Linked DNA regions of Alligator mississippiensis. The protein of the gene in region 1 interacts with the protein of each later gene in a biochemical or structural test. Links are inferred from orthologs where the notes say so. Each region holds a gene or a part of one and is shown in the gene's direction. Other genes may lie near its edges. The genes, in order: AURKA, NIN and INCENP.

Region 1 (7,910 bases):
TTTAAATGGATACAACTAGAACTGTATGGTTTAGTGGTCAAGATACCAGACTGAGACTCAGACTTGGATTGTTATTTCTGGTTCTGCTACTGATTTGGTTTGAAATCTGGATACATCAGTTACTCTCTCTTTCCTAGTTTTTTTTCACCTCTGACTTTTTTGCTTAGCTTATTAAAATGGTAAAGTCTTTCGATCAAAGCTATTTTTAAAATATGGTCACTGCCTTGTTGAGACTTCTAGATCCTACTACAGCACAATCTCTATAAAAAAAAATTCTGTTATGCTGCATACTCCAATGCAGATATTGCTTAATGTCTGCTGCCAAACATGAAGTTTATGCTGTACAGTCACACTGTGTATTGTCCAGTCAAACAGGCTGTACTATAGCAGATTTGAATGCTGACCTGATAAGCAACATTAGGGTATGCAATGCCCCTATTCCAGCAGACGCTAAGTGACTTAGGACCTACCTGCCCTTCCTCAAGACATACTTCCTGTGACATATAGCACAAGGTATACAAGATGAAGTTCAATCCGTTAACTAGGGATGCACCGATAGAGACTTTTTGGGCAGATACCAATAGCTAAAATTAAGGAGGCGTATCAGCTGATATCAATCCAATTTCTGATACAGCTGGTAAGTCCATTGTGGTAGAGGGGAGGAAAAGGGCGGGGGAATATCAACACCCCACCATGGTGAGAGGGGGGGCAAGGCCAAGTGCTGCCCAGCCAGGGCAGAGCATGGGACGCTACCCTCCTCTGTAGCCACCCCCGAGCCCAGCTCACATGGAGAAGAGCCTGCAGCTACAGCTCACCTGCCCTGCACAGATCCGGGGGCACATGCCTTCCTGGGGTGCAAGCAGTGGCAGGAACAATCCCCTCCTCCCCCCCACCACGAGGAGCTGTGGCTTTGGCCCGTGCCCCATCTGCCCCCTCCCTCACCATGTTGGGGACGGACGGATGGACACACACATGGGGACATTGATCTGCCCCCCCAAAGCCCCTTCTACCACATCAGACTTACCAGCTGCGAGCAGCTCTGCTCCTCACTGCCTGAGTGCTGCGTTGCGGCTATGCACATACATGAGCACTTATTGGCCAAATTATTGGCCACATTGAGCCGATTTCCAATACAGCCAGTTTTCTTTATATCAGTTCTAATCCGATATCGGACTGATGTAACGGCGCAGTTAATCATTTTGCAGTAAATTAACCAATGTGGAACTCCATGCTGCTATGGCTAAGCTGCTTTTAGGATGTGAATAGTTCAGCTGTTTTGATGCTATGCTGTAGTCTAGGTGCAGGTATGTCATTAGAGAGGGAGTGGCAGGGCTGCCTCTTTTGTGGCCTTGGACCTTTGGATCCCACTGTCTTCCAAAATCCTTAAAGCAGTTTACATTTCCAGCCTTCAAAACACAACAGGACACATGGTTTGTCCACTCTCTGCAAGGAGATGTGGGCTGAGTACAGCTTATGTTGTTCATATGGAACTGGTTATGTCAGTTTCTATGACCTTTATTACCACATGCTTTGCTTTGATCTGGTACATTCAATGAACCCATGTATTATGATCCTGAAGGCTTTCAAAACATTCAGGGTACTGGATAAGCATTCTTGTATGTGGCAAAAGACCAAACTGCTTTTGAAAGCCCTGCATTTAATATTTCCTATCCACAGCAGAACCAGAGAAACGTAGGGATAGAAGGACACTGGAAAATCATCCAATCTAAACCCTAAATCAAAGCAGGATCAATGCCATCCATGACACTAACAACAGAGCATCATTAAGAGTGATTTTTGCATGAGAGACTGAGACCACTGTGTACCTGCACTGTAAGCAAAGTTGAATTTCAAAATTCCTCATTTATTGACATTAAAATTTACAGCTTACCTAGTTTAATTAAGTGCAGCAGCTGCTCAGAGGGTGCACAGACTGACTGTGGTTTTATCTCATTTATCAGGCCATTGGCAATGTTTATGTATCCATCATACAGCAGCTGACTAATAATCAGTTTATACAATTGCTGACGATCTTTCAAGCTCACTTTTGTTCTATACATTGCGAGCAAGGACTGCCTTGCAGGGGCCTGAAACAAAGATAAAAAAAAAAAAATCACAAAATAAAATTGGACTGAACTGGCGTTGCCTTTCATAGAAAAGTGAACCGCATGTCATTTTCCAAAGTTCCTTAATGGAGATAAAGTCAATTAAAAAGGTATTGCATGGGGGGGTGGGATTTTCAGCTTGCGATCAAAAGTAGAGGGCAAAAAAGGTATTATATATACTGGGGGGAAGAGGGAGACATGTTCAGCTTGCAATCAAAAGTAGAGGGCAAAAAAGGTCTTATATGTACTGGGGGGAGGGGGGGGGAAGAGTTGCTCAGTTTGCAACCCGAAGTGGAGGCCAAAAACCAAGGTGCCAGAAGAGATGACAAAGTCGTTCCCGACGGCAGTGACAGCGGAGGAGCGCGCTGGCCACCAGCATGCGTGGGGCTGCGATGCGAGGCTGACAAAGGCCAAGGGCCAGGAGAGCGGCAGCGGCGCCGTCTGCAGCCGCGGTGCCGGCAGGACCCCGCTCCGCGGACGAGACGGGCGCGGGGCCAGGAGCGGAGGGAGAAGCCGGCCGGGGCGCCGTGGCCCGCGCGGGCGGGAAGGGGGCGTGGGGGACTCGCGGCACAGGAGGGCGGGGAAAGAAAACCCGCCCGCCAGGGCGGCAGCGGCCGCACCCAGCGGCTCCCGGGGCAGCGCGGCCGAGCCGGGCCGGGGAGGGACAAGACACGCGCAGCCCCGCCCGCCGGTACCTACCGACCCTTCCTTCGGCCTCCCTCGCTCTCCGCCTAAAATGGCGCCCGGAGCCCTGAGCACATCGATGGGAGGCGCCGGCGGCGGGGGAGGCGGCGGCGGCAGCAGCAGCCGAGAGCGCAGGAGGCTCCGCCGCGAAGGCAGCTGCATCGAGCGCCCGCACATCGATGGGAGCCGGCCCTGGAGGGAGGCAGGGAGGGAAGGGAAGGGACAGCCGCGTCAACGCGCATGCGCGCACCCCGCCGCGCCCGGCAGCCACGTGACCCGTCCATGGGCTCCCCCAGCACGTCCAACACGCGGGCCCGATCCTGGGGGGTGGGGGCAGCATGGGCAGAGGGGTCTCGTGATCCCTGCGGGTGAAGGGAGTCTGGTGGAGATGAATGAAGGGCAGCAGAGGCTGCTGTGGCTCCTGGGCAGGCAGCAAGTGGGGGACTGGGCAGCCCAGGCCTGAGGGTAGTGGGTTCAGATCCCAGCTGTGGGCAGGTGGGGTCTCAGGGAGCAGCCTGGGTGCAATGGTGGCCTTAAGGGTGTTGGGGCCGCAGGCCAGCGGGTCGTCTGGGGCCCCTTGGAGGCTTAAATGTGGATGACCTGTAAGCACAGACATTGGTTGCAAACTTCTAGGCGTCCCCTAAAGTGCAGTCACCCCATTTGCCCTCCCCTAGGGCCGTCACTGCCAGGTGCTCCTGTACGGGGTCTGTCCCGCCACGCGTCCGTGCAAACCACTGGCGTAGCACGGGTCTCCAGCACCCAGGAACCAATGCTTACATTTGCACCTGCCTGTCCACAGGCAATCGCCAAGTGGGAGGAGGCGGCCGATCGCCGAGGCCAGAAACAACGGTGGCGAAACAGGAAGTGCCGCCAGGGGACCGAATACCCCCCGGAGGGCCCAGCCGGCGCCTGGGGGTATGCCCCCTTGGTGCTAGGCCACTGCCGCAGCCGGACACCGCGGGCAAGCGCGGGCTCCCGCCGATTTTCGTGGCAGCGCCGGTTGGTTCCCCACTTCAACCGGGCAGCAAAGTCTCAGGCGCGGCAGGCTCCTCCTGGGCACCCCCCCCCGCCCGCCCGCCCCAAGGGACAGCCGTACTCACGTCAGCCTCGAGGAAGGGCAGGCGCAGGGCCCGCGGGTCGATGGGGGGGGAGCCCATGTTCCCCAGGCCCCGTGGCAGCGGGCGTCTGTCGCAGGCTGGGACGAGGCGGCGGCCCGACATCCTGGCGCTCGCTGCCGGCACCGGGATCGCCTCCCCGCGCTCTGTCGGGCGACGGCGCTGTCAGCCGCCACCTACCTCTGCGGCTGCTCTCGCTCCGCCGGGCCGGCTCGGCTGGGCTCACCGTCGGGCGATGGCGGCCGGTGGGACCCGGAGCCACTCGCGGGTGCCCGCAGGCGGGAGGCGTCGAGCGGGCGACGCTGCGGCTGGGCCTCCGGACGTCCTCGTGGTGCTCGTATGTATCACGGCTGCGCCCGAGCGCTCAACGCCGGCCTGCGGCACAGCTGCCCCGTGCGGCCTGTGCAGCCCGGGCCCGGTGCCCTCCTGCCTCCCCTGAGGGGGCAGCGCAGCCCCCCCCACCCCCCGCTGCCAGGAGCCGGGGGCTGCCGCCTCCCAGCCAGGGGGCAGGACTGACCTGAGGCACTTCCTGCCCCGCTAACTGCCCGCCCCGCGGCCTCACGGGGCGGCGGGCGGCGGGGATGGCACTTCCATCGCTGCCACGGGTGGGTGGTCTGGGCTTACGCGACTTGCGTAAGGAGAGACCAACCGAGGCCGAGAACTGGCGGAAAAACCGACGTAACTGTCTCGCCGATCTACGCAGTTGGCGCGCGCCGGGGGTGGGGGGGAAAAGCGGCCGAGGGGCGGCACGTCACCTACGCACGTTGCGTCGGCACCGCCCTAGGGGCTGGAAGCGGCTCACGCTACCGCGCAGGCGCTCTGGAGACCCGCGGCCTGAGAGCGACGGGAGGGGGCGGGAGCAGTCGTGAGCCAATGGGCGGGCGGGGAGGGTGGAGCAGGAGCCAATCAGAGCGCCAGCGTGGTGGGAAGCGGGCCAATAGGGAGCAGCGGCGGTTTTAAAGGCTGTTACGGGGAGGGAGGTTTGAATTCAAACAGCGCTCGCGGTGGGGTGTGGGGCGGTGGTGGTGAGGGCCGATGGGGGTATTGGGAGGGCTCCTGGGATCCCCGCGTGTGGGGGGCAGATGGTCCTGGAGAGAGGAGGAGGGCAGGGAAATATGGTCCTGGAGTGGGGGGTGGAGGGGCAGATGGGCCTGGAGAGAGTGGGGGGGCAGGGGTCCTGGAGTGGTGGGGAGGGGAGGGGCTGATGGGCCTGGAGAGAGGGGGCAGATGGGTCTGGAGGGGGGAGGGGCAGATGGACCTGCTGGAGAGGTTGATCTGAGCCTCCAGGCCAGGCTGGCTTGTATTTGAACTCTCTCTTTTTTCAGGCAGCATGGACAGAACCCGGAAAGAGAACCGCCCCGGCCTGCCCACACATGGTGTCAAGGTAAAAGGCCTTGTTCTTTGCTCCACCAGTTCATCCTGGTCCTTGTTTGCGATAACCCCTTCTGGTCATCTCGACAGAAGGCCCCCCTGCCTTCTCCAAGTGTTCGCCCTGCCTGTGTATGAGGCCGGGCAGCATAATGTACGTAATGCGTAGCAGAGGTGTTAATAGCTCTGTTATGGAGGCCTATGTTGTTCTTAAAACAGTCTGAGAATGTGGTACTGTCCCCACTTCAGATCGATTTAAATTTTTACTTTCCATTGGTAGGCTAATGGGGAGAAATGCAGCTAAATTAGGTTGTGCGAGGGTGGAAAATGAACTTCATGAGTTACAGTACAATAATTAGTGCTTCTGCCTTGTCTTGTGTGTCTGTTTAGATTCCAGCCCACGTTGGGGATGGCCCAAAACGAGTCCCCGTCTCTCAGCTTCCTCAGAGTCGAGTCCCTGGAGGCGCAGCCCAAGCACAACGTGTCTTGTGTCCTTCAAACTTGGCTCAGCGAGTTCCTGTACCATCACAAGCTCCAAAGACTGCAGCGTCTAATCAGAAACTGTCTCATAATCAGCGGATGCAGCAGCCTCAGCCGACATGTGTAGTTCAAACATCTTCTAGGCCTCAAGCTCCAAATAATAATGAAAAGCCTCATCATGTCCCAGTATCTGGTAAATAGATTCATTTACACATCTATCTCATCTTGACATGACACCCAGGAGACTTTCAAAGATTGATCATTAAACTGGTTGACTGCAGCAAATTAACAGACCTGACCCTTATTTTCTATAGATCAGGTTTGTGTAACTTATCTTACATCCTGACTTTCTTCCATATAAGAGGATCACATTCACATAGGAAGATGGTTGAAATGTTGGGTAGTATGAACCTACACAGAATTATTTCTGGATTAATAACATTGGCCAACTAGCAGGGTGCTACCTGCTTGTCCCCATAACAGAATAGTGACTAAAATTTAACAGCCACAGATGGTAAGGTACCTTGCTGATAGATATAATATTATAATAATAGAAGTATCATTCTACCCAAAACTTGGAATCTAGAAAAAGCATGGTAAAAGCTGACAGTTGTAGCAGTTGTGTTTTGTGGGTTTGATTAATTAAGGTGTTGAAACTTTTTGTATGCAGCAAACCAGCCTGAAAAAGAAGGTACTTCTAAACCGAAAAATCAAGAGACTAAAAAGTAAGTTGCATTCCTAGTATTTTTGTGTGTTAACTGGGAACCTAGACCCAGAAGTCTAAAATGCTTGTCAGTGATAACTGGGTTAGAATTTCACTCTTAGCATTTAAGGATAAATAGTGTAGAAAAAGTATTCTGCAGTTTAAATATATTGGATTTTGAGGCCAGATCTTGATCTTGGTTAAATTGATACAAATCTTAACCCAGAATAACTCCATGGACATTTATACAAAAAAAAAGAGTTCCAGGCCTTTTGTATTCTAGCAGTTTAACTATATTTTTTTTTTTCCTCTCTTAGGAGGCAGTGGTCTCTTGATGACTTTGAAATCGGCCGCCCTCTGGGAAAAGGGAAGTTTGGAAATGTATATCTGGCTCGTGAAAAACAAAGCAAATTTATTCTGGCACTGAAGGTGCTGTTTAAATCTCAGCTGGAGGAAGCTGGAGTAGAGCATCAGCTGAGGAGGGAAGTAGAAATACAGTCTCATCTTAGGTAAAAAACAAACAAACCAACAAACCCCCTCCCCCCCAACTTATTAGAATTGTAGTTAAAGATATGTTGTTTCAAGCAAGATAAGCAGCTGAACTTATTGCCTCCTGAATTCTATCACCTTAACACAAAGTTTGAACTCGTCTACATGTAACAGGAGTCTTTATGCTTTTATACTCTGCCATGGCAATCCCTTAAAATTGCATCTATTTTTAAGTTACAGTGGACTTTACACAAAACATGTTTAAGGAAGTAATTTGAAAGAACTACGGTTTGGGGGGAAGTCTTTATATCCTGTTGTATAAAGGATACAACAGAGAGGATGCAACTCCAACTTTCTCTTAAACTAACCTTACTGGATTCTGGCTTCTGACTTGCTAGGCAAAGTGACAGTGTGAGATAATGGCTGGCATAATGCAGTGAATTATTTTGTACTTGAAAATGCTTCAATTCTATACATGCTGAGGAAGAACAGACTTTGTCATTGGCAGTGTTTCCAAATGGCATCTCTCCTATTGAATAAACCTGGATATAAGGGAGAACACCAATTTAAAAAATGAAAAGTATCTTTAGCAATAACATCCTAAGACCCTCTACAACCCCCAGCATGCATGCCAGAGTATGGCATGCGAGGCCATTTTGCTTGGTACATCACAGCTGGCCCCAGGCTCTGGGCAGCTGCCATGGGCCACTTGAAGCAGACAGCTGGGAAGCTGCAAGCCATGTTGCAAGCACCCTGGGCTCCACGGCTGGTAGCAGCTGCCTGAAACCCAAGCTGGCTGTGGCAGGCAGCTGGGGGGTGAGGCTTTAGATGGCTCCATAAGGCTCCAGAGCTCTTGGCTGCTTGTGTGCCTCTGGGCAGATGGCAGGAGAGAGGCTGGGGTTGTGCTGCCCTATACCCCTCCCCCACCATCTGCCCAGAGGCATGCATGCAGCTGCTGTCGGCAGA
Region 2 (7,473 bases), on another chromosome or scaffold:
TCTAGCTGAGTGCTCCATTCAGGGATGAAGACGCTACAGGGCAAGGGCTATGGGACTTGACGATAGCAAAATACAAGCACTGAGCAGAGGACCTGCCCCACCTTTGCCCTGCCCTCCAGCCAGCTCCTGCAGCCAGGTAACAGGCAACTGCTGCAGGTGGGATCCTAAGGGTCTGATGATCTGGGAGTCCCAGCAGTTCTCCTGGGCAGCTTCATCACTAGTTGCTGCTGGGCTCGGAGATCTAGTGCAAAGCCAGCATGGATGGGAGCACTTTGCACAGGACACGGAGCATCCATGGAGTGTGGGTCCGTGGCAAGCTACCCCAGCCCAAGTACCAGCCCAGGAGCTGGCATCCAGTGGATGACAGGAGAGGATGGAACTGGCTAACAGGGGTCCCAGGCAGGGGTCCAAGCTCTGGGGCAATGCTAGGAGAGCATTACCAGCTCAGGGACCTGCATATACCGGGCAGCCAAGTATTCCTAAGGAACAAGGGTGTACCCAGGGAGGCGAACCCTTTGATCCCTGCTTCACCCAAAGTTTAAAACCAACTGGCTGGCAGCAGCGGCAGCAGCATTGCTATTGAGGCAGCAGCGAGGGACTCAACTGACTTTGTAGCTCATTGTAAGCTACCGATTCTTTCTAAACACTTCATCCCATAGGTACTAACGGCCCCCTCCCCTTTTTAGTGATTGTGATATTCCTCTACTCAAGCTAGCCTGTGTTCAACCATTCTGCTGCCTGTTAGCTGCTCCTGGTAAGGAAGCTCCTATTTAACAGCCTTGCAAACTGTTTTTAATTCTAGCTGAAAATAATAACTCAGGTATGTACATAACTATCAATGAAGCATTGGATGCACTACCAAGGTGCTCAGGAAGGCTGGATTTTATTTTCTGAACGTGAAAAAGAGCTGTACATTTCATTCTAATGACAATAGTGCTAATGAAGCGTCTTTTGATTTTATTTTTTATTTTTTTGGCCTGGTTTGTTGTGGTTTTTTTATCCATAACAGCAAATTCAAGCACATTCTAATTACATTATCTTTTTCTTTTTTTTTTTGCTTGAGTTTTAAATGAAACAATGTAGCCTGCAGCCCCCAGCACATTAGGAAAGCATCTCCTTTCTTTTTAACTGGGGAATAGATACGTTGTGTTATATGGGGTGATGCACCACACCACCAGCACCCCACCCCCCTTTTCAAAAGCCTACATCCGCCCATGGGAAGGAGGATACAGCTGTTGGACTCAATGTATGGCGGTCCCTTCCAGCCATACTTCTCTATGAAAAGGGACTGGACAAATTCTTGGAGGAAAGGGGCATCCGTAGCTATTCAGCATGGGAGTAAGGGACACAGCCTCTGAACCAGAACTTCCTTGACCCCAAGTGGGAATGAGAAATGGCTAGATCTGCTGAAGAGGCCCGGTCCTGTATTCCTGGCTCACTGCAAAGGGCAGAGAGGGATAAGCTAGAAACTGCATCCGTCCCCCATTAGCTGGGGTGGAATTGCTCACCCCTATGGGATTAGGTGCTGATTTAGTATTATTTGATGTAGCACAGGGCACGGGGAGCAGCTGAGACCAGCTAGGTGGGCATTAATCCCAGGCAAGATGACAGCAAAAGTGCTAGAGGATTCAGCAGTATAAGAGTGTGGTCGACACAGAGAACTGGCCTTACCAGACAAACCCAGTTTCTTTTTGCAGAGAGATTGGCTGGACGGTAGCCACAGAGGCCCAGGGCACTTGGACCTTTGTGAGATGTTTGCCCCTGCAGGACACAACACAGACTCCTGATTAAAACAGCGGTGCTGTCCTGCATCCCCAAAATGCACGGTCAAGGCATGAAGGACTGGCTGTCGACCGGGCTTGAGAAGATGTCAACAGGGAATCATTGAGTGGAGATCGTTACTCAACCGGAGGCAGTCCGGCCTGCCTGTGGGCAATCTGGAAGCAAAGGCGCAAGCACTGCGGATGGACTTTAGCCAGATTCAGTAAGGATCAGACATATTCTTGGAGGAAAGGGGCATCAGTCACTATTGAGCACAGGGGCAAGGAGCACAGCCTCTGAATCAGAGCTTCCTCGGCCTTCAGTGCTGGAGGCTGCAAAGGAGGGAGGAAAAGAGGGAAAAACTTCTGCTCATACCCAGTTCACTCTCCCTTTCAGCCTCTGCTCTCTGCCCTGGTGTGACACAGGAGCCTGGGCACGGTGGGCCTAGGTCTGACCCAATTAAAGGCAACTCTAGGCTCTTGATTTCTATGATTTGTATCAGCCTTGCTGGGCTCTACAAAGTGAATCAAGCTATCACTAGCAAAGCAGGGCACTGGTTTCCAAAGCATGATCCTTCAGAGGAGCCAGGGACCATCTGGGTGCCGGGGACCCCAGCGCAGGGCTAATCCCAACACCCCGGCCCCAACTACTTGGGGTCTCTAAGTACTGGGAAGAAGTTTCTCAGCAGCTAAAAGGGCCTTCCAGGGCCTGCAGCATGAAAGCAGCCAGGAGGCTGAGAGAAAATCCCAGAGCATTTGGTTGTAGCCAGAAAGCAGAAGGGCAGAGCACACCCCGGCCCCCAGCACTGCTCAAAGGAGCCCAGTCCCAACTCGGACTTGGATGCATTTTTTTTTTAAGAAAATTTTTCATGACCTGAGTCAAATCAATTCCAAATCCATGAGTGATTGAAGAACCATATGTGGCCTGCTGCCAGCAAACATCCTCCACTCCACCTGGGGCTTCAGATATTTCCAAATCCTTTGGCGAGTATCCTATGTGCAGGCCCAAGCCCAGAGGTTGGGGTTCGGATGCCCCTGAGTTTCGCTTGCCCTCAGCTGTATGGCCGCAGGAGCAAGCTAGGGAGGAGTCTCCCATTTCCAACAAGTCAGTGTATAAAGGACTGGCGCCTCCCAACTCTGGGGAGGGGGGCACAATTTGTCAGTGGTGGCAGTGGGGTGGCGATCCACGACTGCCCGCAGATGCCAGTGTTGGGGGAAGCGAGGTGTGGTGGCGAGCACCGAGCAGCAATCGGTGACCACCCACAGACGCCGCCGGGGGCAGCCTCGGCATCAGCCGACCTCAGGGGGTGCACATGCACCTGCATGCACCCTCTACACGGTGCCAAGGAGTTAGCATATTGCTGCTGAGTGCTTCCCACTGGAAGTGACAGTTTGTTTGGGGTTTTTTTTTAAAGAAATGTTTTGTGTGCCAAGCCAAATCCGTGAGTCAGTCCAGAACCATAAGTGGCCCTACAACCGGCAAACATCCTCCACCCCCACCAGGGCCTTCAGATATTTCCAACGTCTTTTGGTGGGCACCCTGCATGCAGCCCCAAGCCCAGAGAAGCAAGCTCAGGAGGAGCCTCCCATTTCCATAAAGCGGGCTTTAAGCCCCAACACCTCGGCGGGTACAAAACCACGCCAAAAGAGCAGTTATCCCCAGGAACGCTTAAGCAAAACGGCTTCCTCGGACCCAGATTCATGGTGTTTCCCCCGCGGGAGGCTACTTATGCATTCCCTGGGGCAAGGTACTACCCCTGCCAAGAAAGGGCCAGTCTGAAAACCCCCTTCCCGGTCGTGGGGTTGCCCCGGCCGGGTGGGTGCGTGGCGGGGTCTCCACTTGCTCGGGCTGGGTGGGATTTTCAGCCCGGTGTCCAGGGTCCGCAAGCCGGGGAGACCTGGCTGCGGGGGAGCGGGACGGGGTCGCTCGGAGCGGGGCGGTGCACGATGCACGGTGCACGGCGCTGCGGGCGGGGAGGGGGCGCTCGGAGCGGGGCGGTGCACGATGCACGGTGCACGGCGCTGCGGGCGGGGAGGGGCGCTCGGAGCGGGGCGGTGCACGATGCACGGTGCACGGCGCTGCGGGCGGGGAGGGGGCGCTCGGAGCGGGGCGGTGCACGATGCACGGTGCACGGCGCTGCGGGCGGGGAGGGGGCGCTCGGAGCGGGGCGGTGCACGATGCACGGTGCACGGCGCTGCGGGCGGGGAGGGGGCGCTCGGAGCGGGGCGGTGCACGGTGCACGGCGCTGCCGGCGGGGAGGGGTCGCTCGGAGCGGGGCGGTGCACGATGCACGGTGCACGGCGCTGCGGGCGGGGAGGGGGCGCTCGGAGCGGGGCGGTGCACGGTGCACGGCGTTGCGGGCGGGGAGGGGTCGCTCGGAGCGGGGCGGTGCACGATGCACGGTGCACGGCGCTGCCGGCGGGGAGGGGGCGCTCGGAGCGGGGCGGTGCACGATGCACGGTGCACGGCGCTGCCGGCGGGGAGGGGGCGCTCGGAGCGGGGCGGTGCTCGGCGCTGCGGGCAGGGAGGGGAGGGGGATCGCTCGGAGCAGGGCGGTGCGAGGTGCTCGGCGCTGCGGACGGGCGGGCTGGGAAGCCGGGGGCGGAGCGGCTGAGCCGGCGGAGCCAATGCCCGGGCCCCGCTGAGGTTTTAAAAGGCGGCGCCCGGCGCGTAGCGGCTCGGGCGGGCGGGGAGTGCGTGCAGGGCGGGCCCGGCTGCGCTCCTCCTTCGCGGGCTGCGGGCTGGAGCTGCCGTCGGGGCGGAGGTGAGTGCTGCGCCCCCGCTCCCAGCGCGCCCCACGCCGGGTCCGCGGAGGCTGTTGCCGGCCCGCCCGGGCGCTCCCGCAGCCGCTCAGCCCTGCCCCTGCCCCTGCCCCGGAGGCTCCGGGAGCTGCACAAAAGCGCCGCCCGGCCGCCGGCTCGCCCGCCCCGGGCGCTGCAAGGCTGGGACCCGGCCCCGCCGCCCCTGGCTTTGTGGCCCGGGCCCTCCGCGGCTCGCTGGCGGTGGCTTCCCCCAAACCCAAGCAGATGGGCCCATTGTTTCGCTCGGCCCCCCTTCCCGGAGGCTGCTGATGGCAAGAGCCTATTAGGATGCAAATGCCGGGCTGCCGGGAGTAGCCCTCCCGCAAGCCGCCCGCGCGTGTCCAGTCCAGTCCAGTCCAGCGCTCTGCGCGCGCCTTGGCCCCGAGCCCCGAGGAGGGACAGACCCGAGGCCTGTCTTGCCCAGTCTCCAGTGTGGCACCGGGGCAGGGAGCGTGCGCCGGGTCGTGGAGTTGCCTTTCGAGGACACCTTTTGTGATCGCGTTGGGAGGTGTCCAGTTCAGGTGAGGGCTTGGGTTGGGATGGGATGGGATGGTGTGGACGGGGGGGGGGATGCTGCTTCAGGCAGGGTGTTGCACTAGGTGGTCTCTGGAGGTCCCTTCCCACCTGACTTCTCTGTGAACCACAGGCCAGGTTGAATCCTCCGATGGAGGGCCACAAGGAGAGGTACAGCACTGGACTGCACTAATGATTGGGGCACTTCATGGGGGGGTGGAAACGCTGGTTTTGGTGGTGTGGGGTGGGGTACGTTGGAAGGCGATTTCCTGACTCCTGGGTGCTGCTTGCTTCGTTGTCTTGCTCTTTTTTTTTTTTTTGGCTGCTCTGCCCGCTGCTGCTTTTTTGTATTGTCTGATGCTTTGGAGGGGACCCGCTGCTGAAGCTGGCGTGATGTCATTCTGTGTATTGCTCCGAAATGAAAAGCTGGGTTGGTAGCACATAGGCTGGGAGTAAGCAGTGAATTATGCTGATGGGGTGATGCAGAGATAGGCGAGAAGAGTTCATTAATGGAAGGAGATAATGACTTGAGGTAAGACAACCCGGGCACAGCGCTTTCGGCAAGAGCTCAAATACCCGCCGCTTCAGCGGATGATTTGTGTATCTTGTCAAGTCAGCCTAAAACTAGAAAATAAAAGCGCGCGGGGTTGGTCGGCCAGGTGATGCACACATTATTCCTGTAGCGAAATCCGTGCGCGGAGATAAGGTTTCATGTGTCACACTGGCTCTTTGCTCTTCACAGAGGGAAGACCCTTACCAAAATGACCACTTGTCCTCTGACAATAATGCGCTTGTTTTGATGGTGGTTTATGAGTCAACTTTCTAACGGGAACCTGTGATTGTCTAATTGCCGATCATTCGGCTTGAGAAAGCATTGAAGAACAATGGCAAATGCGTACATTCGCCTTCATTGGTGGCTTTTTGAAAGAGGGTCGACTCCTTGAGGACAGGTGTTTTGCTTTTTTTAATTAAATGTATACAAAATATTAAGGTGCGTAGTGGCACCTGAGAGAGAGGGTCTCAGACCTCAGCTGGATGTGATTTAAATATGGCCCAGCAAAGGGAAAATTCAAGTGAGCGGTGTTTCTTTGGAAAGAGTGCCAAGCGCACTGCTTGGTTTTCCTCTTCTAGTAACATTGCTCCAGTAATTACAGGCTTGCCAGGGCAGCGTTCATTTGTGCTGTGCTAATTGTAGTATTCGGACTTGATGGTGCTGGCCAGGTCGTCTACCCCTCCATTAGTTGTACGCTCAGGCTTGAAGTTTAATCTAGATTCAAAATGTTTAAAGCTGAAGCTGGATCCCAAGTCCTCTCTTTTGAACCTATATCATTAGGGTTAAATTTAGCTGGGAAGCGCTATCAAGTCTCTGCAACATCCGTTATGGAGGTTACCTGAGGCTCTCGAGAGCGTAGCTTTAACCTGGGGGGTCTGGACTTTGGAAACGAGGCTGAATTACTTGCCTCAGTTGAGATCCCTTTTGTTCTCCATGCAGCTGATGCGTCTCCTAACCACAGCCTTTACTGTAAGGAAAAGCTACAAGCCTCCGAGCCCACGTTGGGCATCATTTCAAGCATCTTCCTCGACTTGTCTTCTAAGAAGCTCCCCCGAAACTTCCTTGATGCTTCCTGAAATGTGTTACAATATGTGCTTGTTGGGACTTCTGCTTTTCTTAGTCCTTGGTGACTCCATCGGAGTTTTTAGCCCTGAAAAGCAACTGCCCTCCTTGTCTTAAAGCAGAATATTTGCCTCCTTTTCCTGCCTGTTCAGGCAGGGGTGCGAGGATTTGCATTATGTTACTACAGGTGATGGGCTGAGGAGCAAAGAGACTTGCCATCCAACTGCCCCCTCCTGCTTTTGGTGCTCAGCTGGGAGATTGCCTCTCCCAGCTCGAGACTGGTCCCTGGCCTTGCTGACTCTTTATCAGTTGTGTCTGAGCACGGCTCATGCGGCCGCTATTATTATGCACGAGGACGGGAAGCAATGAAACAATCCAGACATTCCATCTTGTAGCTCAGCTGCTGGACCATCTGGAGGGGAGATGAAAGGCCTGGGTTTCACTCTGGCTTTGTATTTTTGTTTTGTTCCCCCCTGCAAGGCCCTCTCCGCCCTGCCAATCTTCCCTCCCTCCCGTTGCCCCCCCATCCCCACCCCGGGCGAGCACCACTCTCGGCTCTGACCCGAAGAGTCAGCTTCCGCCCTTGAAATTGCTGGCGTTCGGTGTCGTGCTAGCGCAGCGCTCCGATGTGCGTGACCTCATTATTGTGACTGCTCGGTGATGACTTGCACGCTCCTTTTCGGCCTCGCTGCCGCGGGGTGGCTGTGAGCTCATCAGGTAGGAGCCTTTTAAGCCCTGCTGAATAATTCAGAGGGGCCAGGAGGCAGCTGTGCATTGCGTGCA
Region 3 (7,150 bases), on another chromosome or scaffold:
TTGTGATTGGTATTCCGAGCCTACAACCTATGGCCTATTCATTGCTGATTTTGCTTTACTAGATACTGTAGCAAAAATAGTTTAGTTTAAGGACAGATTTGGACGATAACAATAAATTAACCTGACAGGATTTTATATCTAGGGAATATGAAGGTGGGAATATGAAGGCTAGGCAGCATGGAAAAAGTTAAAAATGTAAAAAAGGAAGTGAAAAGAGAGGATCTGACAAATAGGTTTCAGATACTATACTATGATTGTCACCCTCATTTCCCCAAGCATCCCTAACTTTGTTGTTTTACTTCCCAGTTTTGAAGTGTCTTCATCCAGGCTGCTCTGCATGATAGACCACAGCAATCAATAGCAGATACTGATAAATTATACAAGCGTAGCAATAAAAAGACAATTTGTGCACCTGGCAGCACACCATAAGAAATTTGACAATTAATGTTTTAAGTTACCGTATTTCATGTAGTATAGGTCAACACTGTGTATAGGTTAACTCAGGGGTTGGCAAAATGAGGCCCACAAGACACATGCGGCCCGCCAAGCCATTCTACCCGGCCTGCAGAGCCCCTAAAATAATTTAAAATATTGATTTTCTATCTGCCCCTGGTTGCCTGTTATGCAGCCCTCAATAGCTTGCCAAAACTCAGTAAGTAACCCTCCACCCTACATAATTGCTCGCCCCTGGGTTAGCTTCAGTTTTAAAAGTTAGAAAAGTTAGGATTTTCATAGGCATGGTGTGCAAGTCGAGGCCGAGCTCGGTGCTCAGCTGGCACGGCTCCATCCACTGTGAGCAGCACTGCCTGGGTCATGCCAGCTGAGCACTGAGAGCTGGCTCCATCCACCGCAAGCAGTGCTGCTGAGCACTGAGCCCAGCCCTGTCCCATCCCCTGCGTGTGACGTTGGGGCTCAGTGCTCAGCTGGCGCAGCCCCATCCCCTACAAGCAGTGCAGGCTCACAGGGGATGGGGCTGCACCAGCTGAGCACCAAGCCTGGCCCCATCTGCTGTGAGCAGCGCTGCTGAGCACCGAGCCTGATGCCACTCACAGGGGATGGGATGGGCTGGGCTCAGCAGCGCCACTTGCAATGGAGGGGTCTGGGCTCAGCTGGCAGAGCCTCATCCCCTGCAAGTGAGGCTGGGCTTAGCGCTCAGCTGGTGTGGTCCTATCCCCTGCGAGCAGTGCTGGTGTGGCCCAGGCAGCGCCGCTCATAGGGGATGCGACCGTGCCAGCTGAGCCCCAAGCCCAGCCCTACCCCTGTTCCCTGCAACTGGGTTTAACGCTTGGCTGGTGCAGCCCCAACCCCTGCAAGAGGCACTGCCTGGGCCATGCCACTTGCAAGGGAAGGTGGTACAGTGTATAAATCAAGGTTGCATTTTCAAAGGCCAAAACTGGGCTTTAAAATTCAACTTGTACATGATGAAATATGGTAACAGTGTATCCTTTGTTTAACAATAATTAGGAGAGAAAAAGAAATGTTAGTTCTTAATAAGATAAGTATGGGGAAAAGCTATTCTGCATGCTAAGAATAGCACACATAAGATGCTTTCCTTAAATTCAGTTCGAGTCTATTGAACATTTATAAAAAAACAAGCCGAAAAAGCATTTAAATTAAAAATCCAGTTTCAAATTTTGCTGTTTGTGTTCTATGAAGGGTTTATGCATCTCTCAGTTAAGACAAAGAGTAAGAAAATCAGCTTCATTTTAACTTATAGAAGCTATTAATAATCACTTCCAGGTTTTCATGCACTAGAGGTTTTGTTTGTAAATGTTGATAATTTAAAAACAAAACAAAAACAAACAAAACTTTAAATAGCTATGGAAAGAGTTACTAGCTTTACATTTTGTCAAAAACGAACTTTTACAAAACAGATTTTGAACCAATTTTGGCCTGGCCACGTCCCACTAAGCCAGGGGCAGGCAATTATTTTGGGTGGAGGCCTGCTTACTGAGTTTTGGCAAGCCAGCGAGGGTCACATGACAGGCAGCTAGGGGCAAATATTAATTTTCTAAATTTTTCAGGGACCCCGCGGGCCGGATAGAAGGGCCTGGTGGGCCACATCCAGCCTGCGAGCTGCATTTTGCCCACCCCTGCCTGCACTAAGCAGACTAATGATTTGAAATTTGAATGTATGTATATTGTATTCGTTGATTTGGGCTTTATTTTTTTTCTACCTGGCAATTAACTTTTCCCCCCTCCTTTGTTTGGTTTTTTAAAGTTATTTGTCATATGGCATATCTAAATTGACAGGGGAACCACTTACCTTTTTCTGGACAATTCTTTGTTCTCCTCCCTCAAAGAAAAAGAGCTTTTCTTCCTTCTCCGTTTCTTCTGTGATGGTGTTTTGGGCATCAGTCCAGGCTCAGCACTGAAGTTGCTGTTGCACAAATAAAAGGCAGAAAACAGAACGTTTCATCTGCTGCCTGACAATCATTCTATTTGCCTCGTATGAGCCAAAATTAACACAGTGGCAACCTAGGCACATGCCTAGGGTCTTAAGTGAAGAAAGGGCCCAGTTGTGCTTATTTTACGTATTATACTTATGGAGTTAAAAAAAGTAACATAAAAATTTCATCTCAGCTGGGGGCCCACGAGTTTGTTTGCCTAGGGCCCACTAAAGGGTTAATCTGGCCCTGTATGGAGAGCTTATGGCACGATAAAGTAGGACCTGTGCCAAGACAGCAGCAACGCAGAGACATTCTGGCCCACGCTAGACTGAAGCAAGCTGCCCAAAATACAGACAACAAGAGCCACTAAGGAGGTAAAGGAAATGCTATGGTACCAACTAAGGCAGCATTGCCAGGCACTTCAGATCTAGAATCTGAGACCCCAAACTAACTCAAGAAATGAGCAATTTTTATGGGAAACTCCAGTCTTTGGAATCGCAGCTTGCCAGCTGCCAGAACGGGGAAGGCTTCAGATAGATCACGGAGATGAGTCGCCCTCTCCTGCCAGTCAGGTGGACCAACCTATCAAACATCTTCACCGCCTCCTCCTCGATTTCCCGCAGCCACGCCAAATGCTTGTGCTCGGCATTGCCCAGGAACTCCGACAGCTTCTGGCTGCAGAAGTCCAGCAGGTTGGTGGGACCCACCATCTCCACCATGGCTCTGCCTACAACGGGCGGGCGAGGAGGAAAGAGCCGATCGCTAGGCAAGGCGCCTTTCGTAGGGTACCATCGAACCCTGGGGCAGACAGCTACGCCCCCACCATCCCTTTGGGAGACAGAAGGCTATCCCCAAGCTAGAGAGGGGATGAAAGGCACAGGGAAGGCGTCCCATAGGGAAGGAGCAGGCATCAGACCCAACCAGTCTAGCTCCCCCATCAGCACCCATCGCTCTGCTCCAGCAGCAGGAGCCCCGCTGCCAGCTCCTTCCCACACCCAGGGGTGCTGGAACCCAGGAGCCCCTCCTCCCTGGGCTTCCCCAGCCCTGCAGGGAGACAGGGCAGCCAGAGGACCCAGGCGTCCTGTCCCACCCCCGCCGCAGGTGAGAGACGCCCCCGGCCAGAGAACACGCAGAGGCAGCCAGGCCTCGCCCCCGCCACACAGAAGCTCCCTCCCACGCCCCACCCTTGGTGAAGTGCCCGTGACGACCATAGAGGCGTCAGCTAGACAGGCACCCTCCTAACCGGAACCGCCTGCCATACCCACAGCGATGCCCAGCGCAAAAAGCAAGAGCCAATGGCTGGCTTCCCTCCCCGAGGTCATCCGACCTTGCGCCAATCAGGGAGCGCTGTAAAGGAGCGGCCCGCCCTTGGCTAGCGCTCTTGTCCATCAACCGCGGCCCGTTTAGCTACAGGCTACGGAGGCGGCGCGGCTCTGTCTAGCTGCCCCGCCTATCAGCTCTCTCCTGGCCTTGGTTTGGTCCCTCCTCCTTCTCCTCCTACCTGCCCTGCGGAAGCTCCTCCCAGACTCAGTCCTCCAGGGTACAAGAGTCCGCTGGCTAGCAGGGCCTGTTGTGTAGCTCGGCACTGCTTTTTTCCTTCCTTTTCCTCTCTCCCCGCCCCTTTCCTTTGTGGCGTAAGCGCGTGGTGGCCCAATGAGCGCGGCGGGGGGATGAGCTCGATTCAAAAAATTTAGGCGGGCGCCGGCGGGGCTGGAAGTGGGGGGGCCGCGTTCGAGGCCGCGGCGGGTGTGTTCTGACCGTTGGTGGCTCGGGCCATTGCAGGCGGCGCGGCCATGGCGGGCACGGCGCACCTCGTGCAGACCTGCAGTCGGCGGTTGGCCGAGTTCCTGCGCGAGGTGGACGAGACGGACCTGGTGTGGCTGGCCGAGATCCGCGATGAGGCGGCCCGCATGTTCGGCAGGTGCGGGGCGGCCCCTCCTCCCAGCCGTCGTCTGGCTCGGCCGTGGGGGCAGCGAGGGGGGCGGCCACGCATGTCCAACCCCTACCTGGGTCTTCTCCAGCCCTGGCCGGCGGGAGGCCCTGGTTGGGGCGGCTGCGGTCGCTACCTTTCCGGCCCTCGGGGTCCTCTGCCTCCTTTCTGCAGGGGGAGCGTGGGCCGAGCCCCCTAGGGCAGCGGGAGGCTGCTGAGGACGGAAGAGCTGGTTTCTCGGGACACGCGTGAGGGGTCCTGGGTAGGGTACGTGAAGGGATGGTTCCAGCTGGGCCACAGATACGGGAATTGGGCAAGGGCAGGAAGGCGGCAGTGCCCCAGGGTCTTTCCGGCCCCTCCTTTCTGCCTAGGAGGGGTGAGCAGGAGGTTGTGGGGCTTGGTGGGGCCCCTCGGCTGCATCAGCAAGTTGAAGGGCCCGTGCCCTCTGCTGTGCCCCCTTCCCCAGCCCAGTGCTTGTTGTTATCACGCCTGCCCTGTTCTTCTGTCCCTGCTAAGGCTTCAGCTGCCCCAAGGACTCCCCCAGCAACAAGGGGGTGCTAACTGTTTCCGTGTGGGGCTGCGCCTCTGATCCTCTTGTGCATTAGCCAGGGTTGCTCAAGGCAGGATCTGCCCTGAAGAGCTTGACCCTGCCACACCTGGCTTGCTCACTCGCTTGTGGTCCTGGAAAAAAGGCTCAGGAGCAATATCTTGAAGCAACAAAAGAATACAAAGTGCAGCAACCCCCACCCCAGCGCATTACTGTTCACTTTTTCAGTGGTCTGAGGATACATTTGCAAATGCTTGCCAAGTACAGTGACATCCCTGGGAGGAAGTCACTGGGAAAGTGCAGGTATTTCCTATAATAACAGTACTAATCATACATGTGTCTACTGAGCACGGAGTAAGTCAGCCATTAATGCCTCAAAGGCAAAGAGCAAGGTATTATCCCCTGGCCTGTTGCTAGTTGGGGCTTTCATCACAGTTCCTGGGGCAACTTGCAATAACAGGTGGAAGCGAGGGGCAGGGGTTGATAACAGATATGCCAAGGGTAGGTCAGTCAGGCTGAGATTTGACCCTCTGATCCAGTCATGCTTTCTGGTGCCAGGTGAACAGCTGGCTTTAAGCACAGGGTGCACACAGCTCAAGGATGTCAAAAGCCCTTCATTTCAAAAGAGAAAACCTATCGTTATTTTACCACAACTGATAGACATAGCTAGCATGTATATTTATTATTCATAACCGCAGGACTCGGTGCTTGCAGGAAAAAAAGACATTTTCTCTAAAGCTCTCTAGGTGAGAAGTTTAAAGCTTCTTGGTGACTTGAGAACTGTATTCTGACTAGTCCTGATGTAGTACAGGAGGTTTTTGTTTATCCTCTGAAATTTAAGGTCCCAACTTAATAAGACCATCATGCACATGCTTTGTGTGGGACTACTGGCACCTCAGTTTCCTTACCATCTCTGCAGCCCTAGCAGAAGTGAGCCTTGTGGTCTCCCATGACATTGCGTTTATCTTCTCATTAGTTGGAGAGCTGCCTTTCAGAGACAGGCTGGCATAACAAGCAAGTAAAGTGCCCAGGTAATGTTACTACTTTTCCTGTTTCATCTGTTAAGCAGTGACTGTAATGATGAGCCAGAGTTGATGCCAAAAACTCCATCACAGAAAAATCGTCGCAGGAAGAAGCGTATTTCTCTTGTTCAGGATGAGAATGAAGATCCAACCAGGAAGAGGTAGGAAAGTCCCTGGAGTACCTTATATTTGAAGATGTTAAAACTATTTTTGATTGGGATCTTATCCCAGTTTTTGCATTTAAAAAGTTGTTGCTTTTCAGGCCTTAAGTAGAAAATTTGTGAAGAAATCCCTCTAAGAGGGAGGATGGCTTTAATATGATCTATACATTTTGCTGTTTAAGCACATGCTGCATAGAAGAAATGTTATTTTAGGTGACAGGTGAAGGAATTAAGCAGCTACTGCTGCTCTTTTAGAATCTCTTTGTCTCTCTCCATGTGTGTGTAGGCTAGTGGTTCTCAAGCTTTTTAGCCTCAAGGCACCCTGGCTGCAAACCACTGAGTTAGATTCTAGCTCATGCCAGGTGAGTGTGAGGAGGCAGCCCCTTACCCTCTGTGCCCTGTTTTTTCCATCATTTGCCCCCTCCCAGTGCCTGCTCTGTATCTGAGAGGGCAAGTGCTGCTTCTCCAGGAGCTTGAATACAAACAGCCAGAGCCACATGCACCCATAGCCTCTCCCACCTGCTTTGGGAGTATGAGAGGAGTGGGGGATGCTGGGGAACAGACCAGACCAAAAAGTGCAGCCCTGCAGCTCCACGGCTTCCCATTCACTTGCGCGTGCACTACAACAAACTGCTGGGAGCACAGGATAGCACAGAAGCAGCTGTGGAAACTGCTTGTCTGTGGAATGCTGCAGTGCCTGTTTCAGGGAAAAAGGAGGAGTGATCACTTACCTCCTGGCATGGGGGCCAGGCATTGTCACACCCTTGCAAGAATCTCATGGCACCTTGGTTGAGAATCACTGGTTTAGGCAGGAGAGACAGATCTTTGGCAAAAGTGTGCCCTTTCCAGCTATGGAATTGAAGAATAGAGTCCCCCACTCCTGAAAGTGTAGGACCTTTCCCATGTTTCTGCCTCTGTCAGGTGACCTTATCAATCCTAGTGCTGCGTATCAGCCTAGTAAATGCTAAAGACTCACCTTTAAAAGCTGCTCTCTCTATACACCATTGTACTGTAAAGGAACCATTTTGGATGCAGGCTTATAGTGTGCTGAAACTGTAACGGTACTAGAAGTCCACAGGGTCATAGGAAAATAGGGATGG

Evidence for each region.
Region 2: of the proteins of AURKA (region 1) and NIN, one has a biochemical effect on the other in vitro, tested with the Homo sapiens proteins (2 studies listed by BioGRID). The link is inferred for Alligator mississippiensis from reciprocal best matches to the Homo sapiens genes AURKA and NIN.
Region 3: the proteins of AURKA (region 1) and INCENP form a complex in vitro, tested with the Homo sapiens proteins (3 studies listed by BioGRID and IntAct, with this or other methods). The link is inferred for Alligator mississippiensis from reciprocal best matches to the Homo sapiens genes AURKA and INCENP.

The regions. Positions count from the first base shown.
Region 1 is NC_081832.1:9,930,510-9,938,419, forward strand, and holds the start of AURKA (aurora kinase A), read left to right. Parts: upstream 1-4,838; 5' UTR 4,839-4,884; exon of another isoform or gene 4,885-4,929; intron 4,930-5,229; 5' UTR 5,230-5,234; coding exon 5,235-5,288; intron 5,289-5,662; coding exon 5,663-5,945; intron 5,946-6,422; coding exon 6,423-6,477; intron 6,478-6,772; coding exon 6,773-6,964; intron 6,965-7,910. Other genes in the region: CSTF1 (cleavage stimulation factor subunit 1), read right to left, coding at 1,892-2,087, 2,805-2,981, 3,890-4,009. UniProt on the Homo sapiens protein: Mitotic serine/threonine kinase that contributes to the regulation of cell cycle progression.
Region 2 is NC_081825.1:298,548,330-298,555,802, reverse strand, and holds the start of NIN (ninein), read left to right. Parts: upstream 1-4,452; 5' UTR 4,453-4,525; intron 4,526-4,536; exon of another isoform or gene 4,537-5,083; intron 5,084-7,473. UniProt on the Homo sapiens protein: Centrosomal protein required in the positioning and anchorage of the microtubule minus-end in epithelial cells. May also act as a centrosome maturation factor.
Region 3 is NC_081825.1:179,235,674-179,242,823, forward strand, and holds the start of INCENP (inner centromere protein), read left to right. Parts: upstream 1-4,091; 5' UTR 4,092-4,183; coding exon 4,184-4,311; intron 4,312-5,933; coding exon 5,934-6,050; intron 6,051-7,150. Other genes in the region: inner centromere protein, read right to left, coding at 2,267-2,380, 2,973-3,117, 3,652-3,712. UniProt on the Homo sapiens protein: Component of the chromosomal passenger complex (CPC), a complex that acts as a key regulator of mitosis.